2 linked regions of the Astyanax mexicanus genome follow. The protein of the gene in region 2 purifies or fractionates together with the protein of the main gene of each other region. This does not show direct contact. Links are inferred from orthologs where the notes say so. Each region holds a gene or a part of one and is shown on either strand. Other genes may lie near its edges.

Region 1 (7,087 bases), on a different chromosome or scaffold from region 2:
TCTACAGTTCCCTGTTGGCAGCAGAGGACCTGTCAGTCGCCAGCCGGCTCTGCAATTGCCTTGTCCACTACAAAAAGTCAGACACACACACAAACATACATACACACACACAAATGACAGAAAAAAAGTTTATCCAAAACTTGTGTAAAGCAAATGTGCTTACTGGATGAATAACAGACATACCACTTCTCCCGCAACTAGTGGGATTTTCTCACATATTCATAGCAGCTCCCTAAAGCCTGTATAAGGTATTTAAATACAGCTCAGGAAAAAAAATAAGAGACCACTTAAAAATGATGAGTTTCTTTGATTTTACCAAATTGAAAAACTCTGAAAGATAATCAAGAGGAAGATGGATTATTACAAGCCATCAAACCAAGCTGTACTGCTTGATTTTTTGCACCAGGAGTGGTGTAAAGTTATCCAAAAGCAGTGTGTAAGACTGGTGGAGGAGATGCATGAAAACTGTGATTAAAACCAGGGTTATTCCAGCAAATATTGATTTCTGAACTTTATGAATATGAACTGGTTTTCCTTGCATTATCTGAAAGCTCTGCATTTTTTGTTATTTCAGCCATTTTCTGCAAATAAATGCTCTAAATGACAATATTTTTATATGGAATTTGGGAGAAATGCTGTCCATAGTTTATAGAATAAAAAAACAATGTTCATTTTACTCAAACATATACCTATAAATAGCAAAATCAGAGAAACTGGTTCATAAACTGAAGTAGTCTCTAATTTTTTTTGCACAGCTGTATATAATAATGGAGAGTTTAATAGAAACTACCTGTGCCTGTATTACTCATGTTAAGGAATGTTTACAGGTGTCATCCTTGTACCGGTACAACTACAGTTATATAAAACAGGTGTACTCACATAAACTGCAAGACTGTAAAGGATTGTACATGAAAAAAAAAACATCACACAGGAAAGAATACTCTGCTGTTTTGAAGACGGGCACAAACCTTCAGCGAATGGGACAACGATCAGGGCTCTGTCCACGAAGACCGTGTTCGTCAGATGCTGGGAAACTCCAACTGATTCAGATTCGAGGAACTTTACAAAACAGACACGTGAAGTCACAGGCAAGGGAGAATCACTGGAAGAAAATATAAAGGCTTTTGCAAGATGTACAGACAGTTCTAACATTTACACACACCTTCTCCACTCAAACCAGCTTCAACACTTTGCATTGCCTTGATGAATCCCGTACGTGTTTTTAGAAACGCTCCATCTTGGCTCTCTAAGGCACGTCCTACCTGAACTGCCGTTATGACGTGAAGTTATGACCTGATGTGTTTTGGACAGATGGAAAATAACAACAAAAAAGCAGAACACAAGTTAGCTATCTGAGAAAATACACTATGAGTTACAACTCTTACTCAGTCATACACAGAAATAGAGATTCTGACTGGTTCTGCCACCCCATCTATAAAACAGAGGTTCTGATTGGATCTGCTTTCTACTTGTTTATGTCTATAGGTCACTATCAGTCATTTCTCTTGATATGTCTACATTTCATGCCATACATGGATCAACGGTCCATTACACTAGGGTCAGTACTGTATAAGTGAGCCTATAGACCCAAAGGATTCAAGGAATAAAGACCTTATTTTCTTAACTGAAGTAAAAGAGCTCATTATTTGGACAACCACATTTTCCTCATGTAAACTTCAGGCAAACAGAAATTACCCATCTAAAAATTACTAAATAAGTGAAAAGGCTGAATAATTTAATATTGTGCTTGGTTGATATGTCTGCAGAAATGTTAAAAATGTAGCATTTAGGCAATTGTGGAATAAAAGTATAAAACCTGGGAAAAAAACATTGCATTCTGTGTGAGGATGCACAAATGTGGGAGTTCTAGGCCGATGCAGATATCTGATATTAAAATGAATAAATATTAGCCTAAATCAGTGATTGATAGTTGTACAGCCAGTGTTTTTGCTCCAGCAAAAAAAAAAGAGATTAAGAGTGATTAATATTATATTTTGCATAATTTTCGTAACTATGGCTGATAAAAATAAATGCAAAAGAGTTAATGCAACCAAATATTAACGTTTATACAATATTCTTTGCTTACAGGGTACTGTCTTCTATGCTTCCCTCTGCTGACAACTTTTATGAAAATGCGGATTTCATTTTTCAGCAGGACTTGGCACACTGCACACACTGCTTTTAGAGTTTCCATTGGCTGTAGGTCATAATCATTAACAATAAAAGAAATACACGCTTAAAACAGATAGATATATAATATATAAGTTTCACATTTCGAACTGAATTACTGAAATAAAGCAACTTTTTTTAATGATATTCCTTTTTTTAGATACAGTAGTATTAATATATTAGAAAGGCTAGCTAACCATTATCTGTGAAGCTCCATTCAGACATATCCACTGCAGTGCTCAGGCTGCAGCTGGTTAGCTGTGCTGTGCTGTGTTGTGTTGTGCTGTGTTATATAAAGCACCGCTGTGTGTACAGTGTGGTACAGTGCAGTATTTAGAGTTACTCACTCTGGAGGGAAGAGCTTGAGCTCCTCGATGTTCCCCAGGAACCCAAACAGGGTCCTCATCTGCTCGGATGTGGCGCTGGGAGAAACATTGGTGACCTGAACCACGTTCGTGCTGCTGTTCATGATCAGGCCCTGCTGTTTACTAACGCCCGCTGGCGGATCAGCGCTGCCCACAAACAGCAGCAGGATTCAGGCGATTCCCCGCGGCTCGCTCGGTCCGCTCATACGAGTTTACCTGAATTTAACCTACAGATCAGCTCCACAGAGCCCAAATTCACCCAGCTTTCTCTATTAATAACTAATTAACGGATTTAAAGGCTCCCTAGCTACTGCTCCCCGCTTCTCATCTGGATCCTACCAGCAGAAAACTGACTAAAGTCAATGGCTTTCAAAATAAAAGTCTAAAACATTTAATTCTATTTTTAATGTATTGGCCAATTGAAATATATACAATAACATACACAATACATCTTAAATAAAATCTTAACATCTTAAATAAAATACTTTTCTGAAATTGTTAAAAAATCCAAACAAATAAATTATATTGACTAGGTGTTGCATACTAGTGCATCTCAAAAAATTAGAATATCATTGAAAAGTTACTTTATTTCAGTAACCAGTATTTAAAGCGTTTATTAGCGTCCCACTGCTGACAAGTTTTATGGAGATGCGAATTTCATTTTCCAGCAGGACTTGGCACACTGCCCACATATATAAAAAATCATATAATATGATTTTTTTTTTTAAAAAACACAGATTTTTGTGTTTTCATTGACGGTAAGCCATAATCATTTACAATAAAATGAATAAACGCATAAAATAAATCCCTCCGTGTGTAAAACATCTGTATAATATATGATATAATTTACATTTTGAACTGAAATACTGACATAAAGTAACTTTTCGATGATATTCTAATTATATTCTCGTTCCTTCTTTTGGGCAGTATAAAAATATAATCCATGCATTTCTTTATCATGGTAAATTAAAACATTTTAATGTAGCCCATAATATGTAGTGCTATTCATGTATGTCGTTTGTGTTATAAATATTATATTATTGTTTAGAAACTGTAACATTTAATATTTCATATAATACATAGCTATGTAGTTTGTACATAGTTGGTCACTCTGTTAGTCTGATTATATTTCATAATCAGAATAATTTATTTTTGCTTTTGATCTTTATATGTTGTACGTTGTATTTATCTATATCATTTTTAATTTTTCTTTTTTTGTCGTTATTGTTACAGCGATCAGGCTTTTCCGTGATAGTTGTACCATATATCATGTATAAATATTATGATTTTATGTGTGAAAAATAAATTTTGATCAAATTATTATTTTTATTTTAATTATTTTTTAATTATTTAATTATTTATTTATTGTTATTTCTAAATCTATAAAAACAAATCTATTCGATTATTTTTTTTCTTTTAGTACAAACATTAAACTGATTTCCTCTTTTATATGAGAAACCTAAAAAACTAATGGGACTTTAGTGGGACTTTTATTATGAAACGCAGGGTCTCTCCTGTTTTGAATCAGGAAAGCTAGTACAAGAATGGAGACCCAAACAGAAGGTGCTGTGCTTTCCCGAGCAGAGAGAAAAGCTCTGGAAAAGGAGAAAATCATTCAGAAAGAGACTCAGAGAGAGACCTTTAATCTGGTGAATATATCAGCTGCTTTATTTCCCTTCTTAAAAGATTTACACCTGGTTTAATAAACGCTAATTTAGCTAGTAATGTAACTTAGATACTTAGCTAGCCGGTAAGATAGCCTAGTCTGTCGGGGGTGTTTAAATGCCCCAGCTTCATTAATAACAGCTGTTATACTAAACTTTAAAATGTGTGTATATGTAGACAGACAGACAGACAGACAGATAGTAATATAAAACAATAATAAGCATGAACTAATAAAAAAAAAACACAGTCAACTATAGACAACTATATCTCACCTATTGCAATAAGGCATTAAATAAATACAAATAATAAATATTAACAATAAGTCAAGTCAATATTTATTGCAAATATTGTACGCTCTGCTGGTTAATCTGTTTTGTACAGGTTTCCAGAATACTGAAGAAATCTGAGTGTGAGCGGACAGAAGAGGAGATTTCTCTGCTTCACTCTCACCAAGAAACTGTCCAAGAGCTAAACAAGCGATGGGTCAGAAGAAACACCTTGAAGAGGAAGCAAGAAGAGGTGAGTTTGGTTTTATATGGTTGTTCTTTAAATTGCTATACTGGTGCATTTTAATCATTTAGAATATAATTTCCTCAAAAAGTTAAATTATATAGATGTTATTATACACAGTCAGCTATTTTAAGCATTTAATTCTGTTAATGTTTATGATTATGGCTTACAGGTAATGAAAACCCCAGTCAGTCAGTATTTTAAATTACATTTAAATTAAAATTTTATATGAAAAAAAAAATACAGAAATGCTGACACACTGAAAAGTATGTACAATATTATCAATATTAATTCAGCCTGTGGCACTGCTGTGGCATTGAGGTGTTATGAAAGCCCACCTCATCTTCCTATTGACAATAGTCCATAGATTTCAAGCTCAGGTGAATTCGCTGGTCAATCAAGCACAGTGATATTATGATTATTAAACTAGATATTGGTCATTTTGGCAGTGTGGGTAATTTCTGAGACACTGACTTTGCAGTTTTTATTATCTGTCGTAATCATCAACATAAAAAGATACTCTAGATCACTCTGTGTGTAATGAATCTATAATAGTTTCAGTTTTTAAACTGAATTACTGAAATAAATGACCTTTTTGATGATACCCTACTTTATTGATATGTACCTGTATATAATTTTTTTTGTATTTTGTTTTAGATTTGTGTATCAAAGCAGCATTAATAATAATTTTTTTTAATGGTTTTCGACAAAATGGAAATATTTTGCCACTTCGATGAATTACCTTTGTGCTCTGCTGCTTTTAGCTGTTTGATGATGAGGACGAATTGAGGACCAAAGTGAAACAGCTGGCTGAAGCCATGCGTCAAGCTCAGCATGCTGTCATCTACACAGGAGCCGGTATCAGCACGGTACTATCAACTCCAGCCTCAGAGGATGTACTTTCTTTTACTGCATGCATAATAAACGCTTCAAATATTAACCATCATTGTTTCATGTTTGACAGGCCGCATCCATCCCAGATTACCGTGGCCCAAACGGAGTATGGACCCAGCTGCAGAAGGGACGGACTGTTATGTGAGTGATGCAGTGTGCATTTCTCCACTTCTTCTGTTTTTATACAAAATAAAAAATAATTATTGTCCCCCACACATTGTGTCACATTGTGTCACATTATGTTCCACAGGGCTTCTGACCTCAGTGATGCAGACCCGACTCTGACGCACATGTGCATCCGGATGTTACACAAAATCAAAATGGTCAGTATGCTATTATTTAAAGACCAAGGAGTAACTCTTAGAACCAAAAATGAGTCTGTGATAGTACTGTATTATGCAATTTTGGACGTAGCAATAGACTTGATTAGGACCATCATGAGCATAGAGAGTGTCAGAGACGAGGCAGTGGTTAGGGAAATATGACAAAAAATGTTGCTTAGATTTTATAATTATTATTTTAATAATAATTTTTTCAATGTATTCATGAATGTCAGCCAGTACTTGGTGTTTGCATGCAGACTAAAGTACCTCTGTTTACGTGCAGGTTCAACATGTGGTCTCCCAAAACTGTGACGGCCTCCACCTGCGCAGTGGCCTTCCCAGACCCGCCCTTTCTGAGCTACATGGGAATATGTTCATAGAGGTGACCCTCATACTTTCTTATGGCTGTCAAACTTAACCATATCTTTAGTTGCATAGGAAAATCTAAATATTTATCATCTTGAGTTCCTGACACAGCAAGCTAACAGCACAAATGTGTGCTGTGTGCCGAAAATTCTTTTTTAGTCTGTTGGCATGTATTAATTTACAATCAGAAACCATCAAAATCAAAATGTTCTTCACTCTTATTCTCCAGTCCTAAACATGCCCATTCATTCCATACAGGTCTGTGTCTCATGTTCTCCAGTACGGGAGATCATTCGACTGTTTGACGTGACCGAGCGCACAGCGCTGCACAGGCACGGAACAGGCAGGAGGTGTCCCCACTGCGGAGCAGAGCTGAAGGACACCATCGTGCACTTTGGAGAGCGAGGCACCCTGGAACAACCCCTCAACTGGAAAGGTGCTGCCGAGGCTGCAGAGCAGGCTGACCTCATCCTCTGCCTCGGCTCCAGTCTGAAGGTAATGCAGCGATTCATGTGACTCTCCTTAGCTGTACCTTTCTGTTATGATTATGGCAATATCTGATTTTTGTATGTGGCACATTGGCAGGTCCTGAAGAAGTATGCATGCTTGTGGTCTATGAAGAAGCCAGCAGCTAAAAGACCAAAGCTGTACATCGTCAACTTACAGGTAATGACTCACACTTACTTTTTGGCTCCAGCTACAGTCCTGCAGTGTAACTTCACAAATTCACACTTGTAGCCACACAGTACACACAGTATAGTCATGAAAGTGTAAGAAGCACAGGGACTAAGGAAG
Region 2 (7,737 bases):
TCAGTTCTGGGCTTGTTCTGACAGGAGAGATCAGAGGAGCATCAGCAATAACAGAACATCACTGAGTCTGACCTGCCCGTACCGTGCCATACCGTATCACACCCAGAGAATATCATCATTTTAAATGTATATACAGCACTAATTACTCTGCACTTTAGTTTAGACACACCTTCTCATTCAATGTTTTTATTTTTAATATTTTTTCCTACATTATAAATTAATAGTTAAGTGATCTATCAGATTATAAAGGAACACATAAGGAATCATGTAGTAACTTAAAAACAGTGTTAAACAAACCTAAATACTCTTATCTGGGGAGCTGTTTGTTAACTTGTGCTTTCTGAGGCTGGTAACTCTGATGAACTTCCTGTACAACAGAGGAAATCTTGCTCTTCCTTTCCAGGGCATTCCTGATGAGTGCCAGTTCCATCATAAAGTTTTCAATGTTTTTTGCGGTGACTGCACTTGAGGATACTTTCAAAGTTCTTGAAATTGTTCAGATTTTTCTGCTCTGTATTTACAGCCACAGTGATTTAAACGTATTAAATAGGTAATTGCGAACAGGCATTTATGAAGACTGAAGCTGAAGGTTATTATGGGACGTGGTTGTGTTGTTGCAAAGATCTGAAGGTGCTGGAGTTGTTTTCCTCAGCCTGGGGCACAGTAATCATATGGCAGTGTGTGTTAGTGTGTGTGTGTGTGTGTGTGTGTGTGTGTGTGAGGGTGTGTGAGGTGAGGTGACGATGTGTGTTCTGGGTGTGGTGTGCAGTAAAGTGTAGCCTGAAGGCACTGAATCTGCGGTACATTCTCCAGTGCAGGTATGAACCAGCCTCAGGTGTGTGTGTGTGTGTGTGTGTGTGTTTTCTGACTCATCTTTTTCTACAAAAAGCCAGACAGAGGCAGACACACCCAGCTGCCGGTCTCCATGGCGATGAGGTGTGTCGTGGTTTGGTGGGATGAATCAGTCTAAAACCCCAAATCAGAAAATGTCAGGATGATATGCAATCCGATGCTTTACCTAAATGAGATAAAAACACCAATAAATAATGAAGGCCCTGTCTTACAACATGTGCATGATGCGTTGTGATGCTCATTGCTATCTTACACCTTGTCAACAGTCTATTTCCACTCGTTCCTCCTGCATTGTTTAAATAGCAACAGTGCTTCTGAATATATCTACACTGATGGGCGTGGTGGTCTGAAAATGAGGTTCAGGTAAATTTCTGGTTTATTGCTATCTTGGCAACGCAACTGTGCCATATGTAGATCAACAATAAACAAAATAATAAATAAAATAACATTGCTGTTCCCGTAAATTAGCTGCTGGATCTCCTTCACAGCGTCAACCAGCAGCTCAGTTTCCAGGTCCAGGTAGCTGCACTGTTAAAATAGCAATCCGCCAAAGTCAGAGCTCACCTGATCTACTCTTAAAGAGAATGATGAGCTTAAAGTGACACTCTGATTGGTTTATGTCATGTTACACCCAAAATTAACCACACCCACGATTAATTAAGAGAATTAGTACATAACTTGAGTCATGCAAGGTGTACTTTTCCCACCGTTATGATAGCAAAGACACACCAACGCGCTCTAAATCAAGCTGCACAGTGCACGGTTGATGGCTTGCCTATAGATCGCTAAAATAGGACTACAAATTTTATAAAATATATATATATTTCATTATTGAATTAAGGCTGCAGGTGACATGACTATTTTTAGAAAATGAATATACTCAATATGCTGTTCTAAGCTACGGTGACTCAAAAGAAATAATGAAAAATAAAGTTAAAACCAAGAAGATGTACGTGCGCGCTCCCGAGAGGGGGTGCTTTTCCTGGCGGGGGTGCTGAAATCGGCACAACACTGGTTCTGGACCGGACTGACCTGTAATCAGCAGAGAATGTGTGAAAACGTTTTTTAACCAAAAATACGACAAATGTAACAATTTTTTAAACAAGCTGTTGCAGACAGACTGGGCTGAGGTTACATGTTGTGTGAGCTTGGAAATTCCTGTCTGCTGAGTTTAGTGTGTGTGTGTGTGTGTGTGTGTGTGTGTGTGTGTGCGTGTGTGTGTGTGTGTATAATCCAGCGTTACAGCCGGAGCGAGCCGGACGTCTGCAGTGTCAGACACATTAGCATTAGCATTAGCCAAGCCTGTCTGAGCCAACCAGCTTACTCACAGAGGAAATGTGTAAACAGTGTAAACACACAGTGGGCGGAGCATACCTGCACCAGCACACACACACACACACACACACACACACACACACACACACACACGCACACACACCAGTATAAACCTCACAGAGGGAAAGTGAGGGACAGTGTGGAGAGAGCTGTTCAGACAGGTCAGTGTGTGATTTCTCTGTTTATTCTTTATTCATTAAATAAAATAAACAAATAATCATTACTCTGTAGTTAGAAGTATAGAGTGTTTAATAAAATACTTAGAAGTAGAAGTTAAAGAAGAATCAACTCAAGCATTTTACTCTTTAAGTAAAAGTGTTTAAAAAAGTACTGGATTCAAAAATTATTTAAAGTATAAAAGTAAAAGTTTTGATGTGTTTGGTTGCTTTAAAGAGTTTCGTGGGTTATAACTGTATTGTTTTAATATGTTTGGTTGTTTTAAAGTGTTTGGTGTGTTTTATCTGTATTTTTGGTGTGTTTGGTTGGTTTTTAGTGTTTGAGGTGTTTTAATTGTATTGTTTTGATGTTTTTTTGTATGTTGTTTTGATGTGTCTAACAATTGTTTTGATGTATTTGGATGTTTGAATGTGTATGATGTGTTTTAACTGTATTGTTTTGAAGTGTTAGATGTGTTTTATCTGTATAGTTTTGATGTGTTTGATGTGTTTTAACGGTATTGTTTTGATGTGTTTGGTTCCTTTGATGTGTTTAATGTGTTTAAACAATATTGCTTTGATGTGTTTGCTTGTTTTTAAGTGTTTGATTTGTTTTATCTGTATTATTGTAATGTGTTTAATTGTTTTGAGGGGTTTGGTGTGTTTTATCTGTATAGTTTTTTTCTGTATGGTTGTTTTTATGTTGTTTTAATGTGTTTTAACTGTGTGTTTTGTATTTATTACTCATCAGGACGGTGGTTATGATGCTGATGGACAGTAGAGTGCTGGTGCCGCTGGCCCGGGAGCTGTTGTCTCTGAGGTTCAGGCCGGGGTTGCTGAGGGTTTACCTGGTGGGCTCAGTGTTGGCTCTGCTGGGGGTCGTGGTGGGCGTGGCCGACATGCTGCGTTTGACCTTCTGCACTGAGGACGTCCAGACTGGACCAGAGGAACAGTACGAGGAGCTGCTCGCAACCCTGCGGGAGATCACACACACACACTCACACACTCTCTCACACACACACACACTCACAGACACACACTCTCACACAGACACACACACTTACAGTGAACTGAGGCCCTCACTGCATTTTGAGGAGGAGAGAGGGCCCTTAACCTACAGGAGACCCCTGGAACACACACTCCCCCCATACACCCATCGTATGTAGCATCTTCTCAGCTCACTGAGAACATTTATCAACATTTTAAAAAGGTTCCATTAACGTTAAACTGTAACATTGCAGTGACGTTACCATGATGTTTAAAAATGTTAAGTAAAAACACTCTAAGAACATCCTGAAAATGTAAGAACATTAACCGTCAAGATCAGAAAATGTTCTATTAAGCAAAAACTGTTCCATGCATTAAAGTGTAGCGATGGATGTGTGTAACTTATTGATCTACTGTTTCCCAGAATGCACTGCAAATCAAATCAGCTGATGTTCTGTGTTTAATACTAGATGGCAGCTGTGTGTGTGTTTGCTATTCTTACATTATATATTTTTTGTATCTATAATTGTAAGTGTAAATTTTGTAAATGTATATTCATTATTATTTAGATTTTATTTGTATTTTATAATTTTAAAACTGTTCACATGAAAAATAAACAACCTCAAACAACCTTAATTACTTTTATTTTATTTTTTTTTTAAGAATAAAAAACTCAATCTGTTTATATGTAGATTTTATTGCGAGATATTTTGTGTTAAATTTCAGCTGAAGAACCAAAAACAACAGAGAGTTTGGCTGTTCAAATACCAAAGCCTGAATAAATACCTTGTCTTGGGAAATTTTCTTTTTTTAAATACATTTTCAAAGCTCATACATTTTTATTTCCAATGCTATTTACTAGCTGTAAGCTGTTAATCAGGGAACTGTTTCCTAAAAAAAATCCAATATAGTTTTACAATATACTGTTTATATAACATTTTTATTTTAATTTTTAGTTGTTTTCTTTTTTTAAAGGACTCTGCATTTTATATAGTTGGATTTCAGCTTCAAGATCACGGACTTTTACGTTGAAGTTGTACCTGCACTAAACGCCATTGGACAAAAAAAAAAAAAAAAGTTTATTTAATTATATTTAACGAACCTTAGATAATCAAAGTATGAGGTTTTTAATATGAGCGAGTTTTAAAATGTAATTTATTTTATATTATGAACTCTTATTTTATCGGGTGTAGCTGAAACTCGCAAACAACCATATCCGTCCATAAACCGGCTCTGATTGGACAACATTTTGCTTATATTTTCTGGATTATAAAAGCTCGTTCTGTTGGAAATGATAGTAATAATAATAATAATAATAATAATAATAATAATAATAATAATAAAAATATTAGTAGACTTTTATTCATTTAAAAGTGGGACTTTTATCCGGAAGCGGAAGTGAGTGGATGTCAGAGGCGCATGTACGCTGCTCCATCTCTCCGGCCATTCATTCGCGCGCTGGAAAAACAGACTCACAAACAAACCGGTAAATAAATAAACCGGTAAATAATCAGGTAAAGACTGAGAGCCGCCGCGCTGAGCTGCAGGATGCTAACCGAGAGCCGCTGGTGCCCCGCGAGCGCGCCCGCGTGCATGGAGAGACACCTGGAGACCCTGCAGTACAGAACAGGTAACTTACCTTAACTACCCTTACCTTACCTATAATTAGAGGTAAAATACACCACAGCCTGCTGCAGGAGTGAGTGAGTGAGTGAGTGAGTGAGTGAGTGTATGTGTGTGTGTGTGTTTGTGTGTTTGTGTGTTTGTGTGTGTGTGTGTGTGTGTGTGTGTGTGTGTGTGTGTGTGTGTTTTTGTGTGTGTGTGTGTGTGTGTGTCTGTCTGTGTTTCTCTCTGTGTGTTTCTGTATATCTGTGTGTTTCTGAGTATCACTGTTTCTGTGTATCTCTGTGTTTGTGTGTCTGTATATCTGTGTGTTTCTCTGTGTATCTCTGTGCATCTCTGTATCTCTGTGTGTTTCTGTGTGTGTTTCTGTATGTTTCTGTGTTTCTGTGTGTGTGTGTGTTTCTGTATCTTTGTGTGTTTCTGTGTGTGTTTCTGTATCCCTGTGTTTCTGTGTCTCTGTGTGTTTCTGTATCTCTGTGTGTTTCTGTATCTCTGTGTGTTTCTGTATCTCTGTGTGTTTCTGTGTGTTCTTTATCTCTGTATGTTTATGTGACCTGTATCTGTGTGTTTCTGTCTGTGTGTCTGTATCTCTGTGTGTCTGTATCTCTGTGTGTCTGTATCTCTGTTGTGTCTGTATCTCTGTTGTGTCTGTATCTCTGTGTGTCTGTGTGTCTGTATCTCTGTGTTTCTGTATCTCTGTGTTTCTGTGTGTCTGTATCTCTGTGTTTCTGTGTGTCTGTATCTCTGTGTTTCTGTATCTCTGTGTTTCTGTGTATCTGTATCTCGGTGTGTGTCTGTTTTTCTGTGTCTGTGTCTGTGTGTGTGTGTGTGTGTTTCTTTCTCTGTGTTTCTCTGTGTGTGTTTCGGTGTCTGTAAATGTCTTTTTGTGTCTAGGTTTCTCTATTTTTAAAGTTTGTTAATGTCTCTTTGTGTCTGTAAATGTCTTTCTAGGTCTGTAAATGTCTGTACATGCCTCTCTGTGTCAAAGAAGTGGGCTTGGCTTAACATTAAAAATATTCAAAACTGTGAGCAGTGTAATTATGGTTTCGTTAAGAAACATTCTTTCTTGTGTGTTGAGCAGTCTGATGGCCTAGGGGAAGAAGCTGTATTCTGAGCGTGTTTTGTCTGTGTTTTTCTCTCAGATGGGACTCTGCTGTTGGGGGCGTCGGGTCTGACGGGTCGGTGTTGGCTCGGTTCTCTCTGGGTGTTCAGTGATGCTAAACTCGCTCCTAACGAGGGTTACTGTAAGGCGGGGGTTCAGACAGAGGCGGGAGTTACCCACGCTGAGTGGCTCACCAACAGAGCCATCATCCTCGCCTCAGACTCAGGTGAGCAGAGGGGGGATATTGATCGATTAGTGATTGGTTCAGTGGCCAGTTGTGTTCTTTGCTAATGTTTCGCGTAATTGTCTTTATTTATGTAGGTGCTGTTGAATTATGGGAGCTGGCGGAGGACGAGCGTCTGCTGGTAAACAGGTTTACTCGCCATGAGCACGATCACGTTGTGACGTCAGTGAGCCCTACGGCCGACGCGGGTCACGCGGTCAGCAGCGGCATGGACTGCAGGTCAGCAGCATCAATGCTAACGTAGCTAAGAAGTAATCAAGGGTTATACCTCAACATTTAGCTTAGCATGCTAATGTATCTAACAAGAAATATAAGTTACCAATTACCACTGGAGCTAAAATAATGGATAATGTAGCTTCTTAGCTTAATCTTATATTATCACTGGAGCTACAAGAATACCGGTAATGTATCTAATAAGTAGTGGAAGTTTAAACTCACCAGCTTAGCTTAGCATGCTAATGTAGCTAACAAAAAATGGAAGTTATAAGTTACCAATTAGCACTGAAGCTAAGAATAAGGATAATGTAGCTTCCTAGCCATGAAGCTAATTGAAGCTTAAACTTGTGTTATTACTGGAGCTTTAAATGTTATGTAGCTTATAAGTAACGGAAGTTAAAACTCACCAGTTAGCGCTAAAGCTAATAGGCTAATAATCATCTCCAGACCTGAACCCTGTCAAAAACCTCTGGAATATAATCAAGAGGAAGATGGATGTTCACAAGCCATCAAACCAACAAATAAAGTTAAACTAGTTTTTTTTTTTTTTGTAGCAGGAGTAAAGGCATAAGATCACCCAAAAGCAGTGTGTAAGACTGGTGGAGGAGAACATGAAAGCTGTGATTTATAAAACAGGGTTATTCCACCAAATATTGATTTCTGAACGTTTTTAAAACGTTAGTATTGTTATTTCTTAATGAATATGAACTTGTTTTCTTTGCATTATTTGAGGTTTTTAACATTTCTCATTTTCTGCAAATGAAAATTCTAAATGACAAATTTATTATATTTCTATTTGGAATTTGGGAGAGATGTTTTCACAGAATAAAACAACAAATGTTCATTTTAATCAAACATATGCCTATAAATTGTAAAATCAGAGAAACTGATGGTTTTAAAGTGTTTCTCTGAGTTTAATGGATATTTGCTCTACATTAGATGGTATATGGCACTGTATGTGAGTGTAGCTCATGTGTTGTAGTGATGTTGGTGTTAATAAGAGCGAATCTTCTGTGTTTTTAGGGTTAAAGTTTGGGATCTGAGTCAGGAGACGGTGATCAGCAGCTACAGCGGTGAGAATACTTATACACTATACGAGAAAAACAAATGTATTTAGTTTAAAAGTTTAATTTAGATTCATTTTCATACATAAAGTGCGCAGGATTATAAGGCGTGACACTAGTAGGGAACAGGGGTTTCAAACGAGTGATGGATGTTAATCT

The links.
Region 1: the proteins of wdr77 (region 2) and sirt7 purify together in Homo sapiens (affinity purification with mass spectrometry; 3 studies listed by BioGRID, with this or other methods). This does not show direct contact. The link is inferred for Astyanax mexicanus from reciprocal best matches to the Homo sapiens genes WDR77 and SIRT7.

What each region holds. Positions count from the first base shown.
Region 1 is NC_064423.1:31,808,445-31,815,531, reverse strand, and holds the start of sirt7 (NAD-dependent protein deacetylase sirtuin-7), read left to right. Parts: upstream 1-4,072; 5' UTR 4,073-4,078; coding exon 4,079-4,183; intron 4,184-4,580; coding exon 4,581-4,718; intron 4,719-5,473; coding exon 5,474-5,578; intron 5,579-5,673; coding exon 5,674-5,744; intron 5,745-5,853; coding exon 5,854-5,926; intron 5,927-6,209; coding exon 6,210-6,308; intron 6,309-6,550; coding exon 6,551-6,787; intron 6,788-6,877; coding exon 6,878-6,958; intron 6,959-7,087. Other genes in the region: srsf11 (serine/arginine-rich splicing factor 11), read right to left, coding at 969-1,102, 2,517-2,638. UniProt on the Homo sapiens protein: NAD-dependent protein-lysine deacylase that can act both as a deacetylase or deacylase (desuccinylase, depropionylase, deglutarylase and dedecanoylase), depending on the context. Specifically mediates deacetylation of histone H3 at 'Lys-18' (H3K18Ac).
Region 2 is NC_064431.1:32,443,529-32,451,265, forward strand, and holds the start of wdr77 (methylosome protein 50), read left to right. Parts: upstream 1-4,725; 5' UTR 4,726-4,877; coding exon 4,878-4,959; intron 4,960-6,094; coding exon 6,095-6,280; intron 6,281-6,375; coding exon 6,376-6,517; intron 6,518-7,537; coding exon 7,538-7,587; intron 7,588-7,737. UniProt on the Homo sapiens protein: Non-catalytic component of the methylosome complex, composed of PRMT5, WDR77 and CLNS1A, which modifies specific arginines to dimethylarginines in several spliceosomal Sm proteins and histones.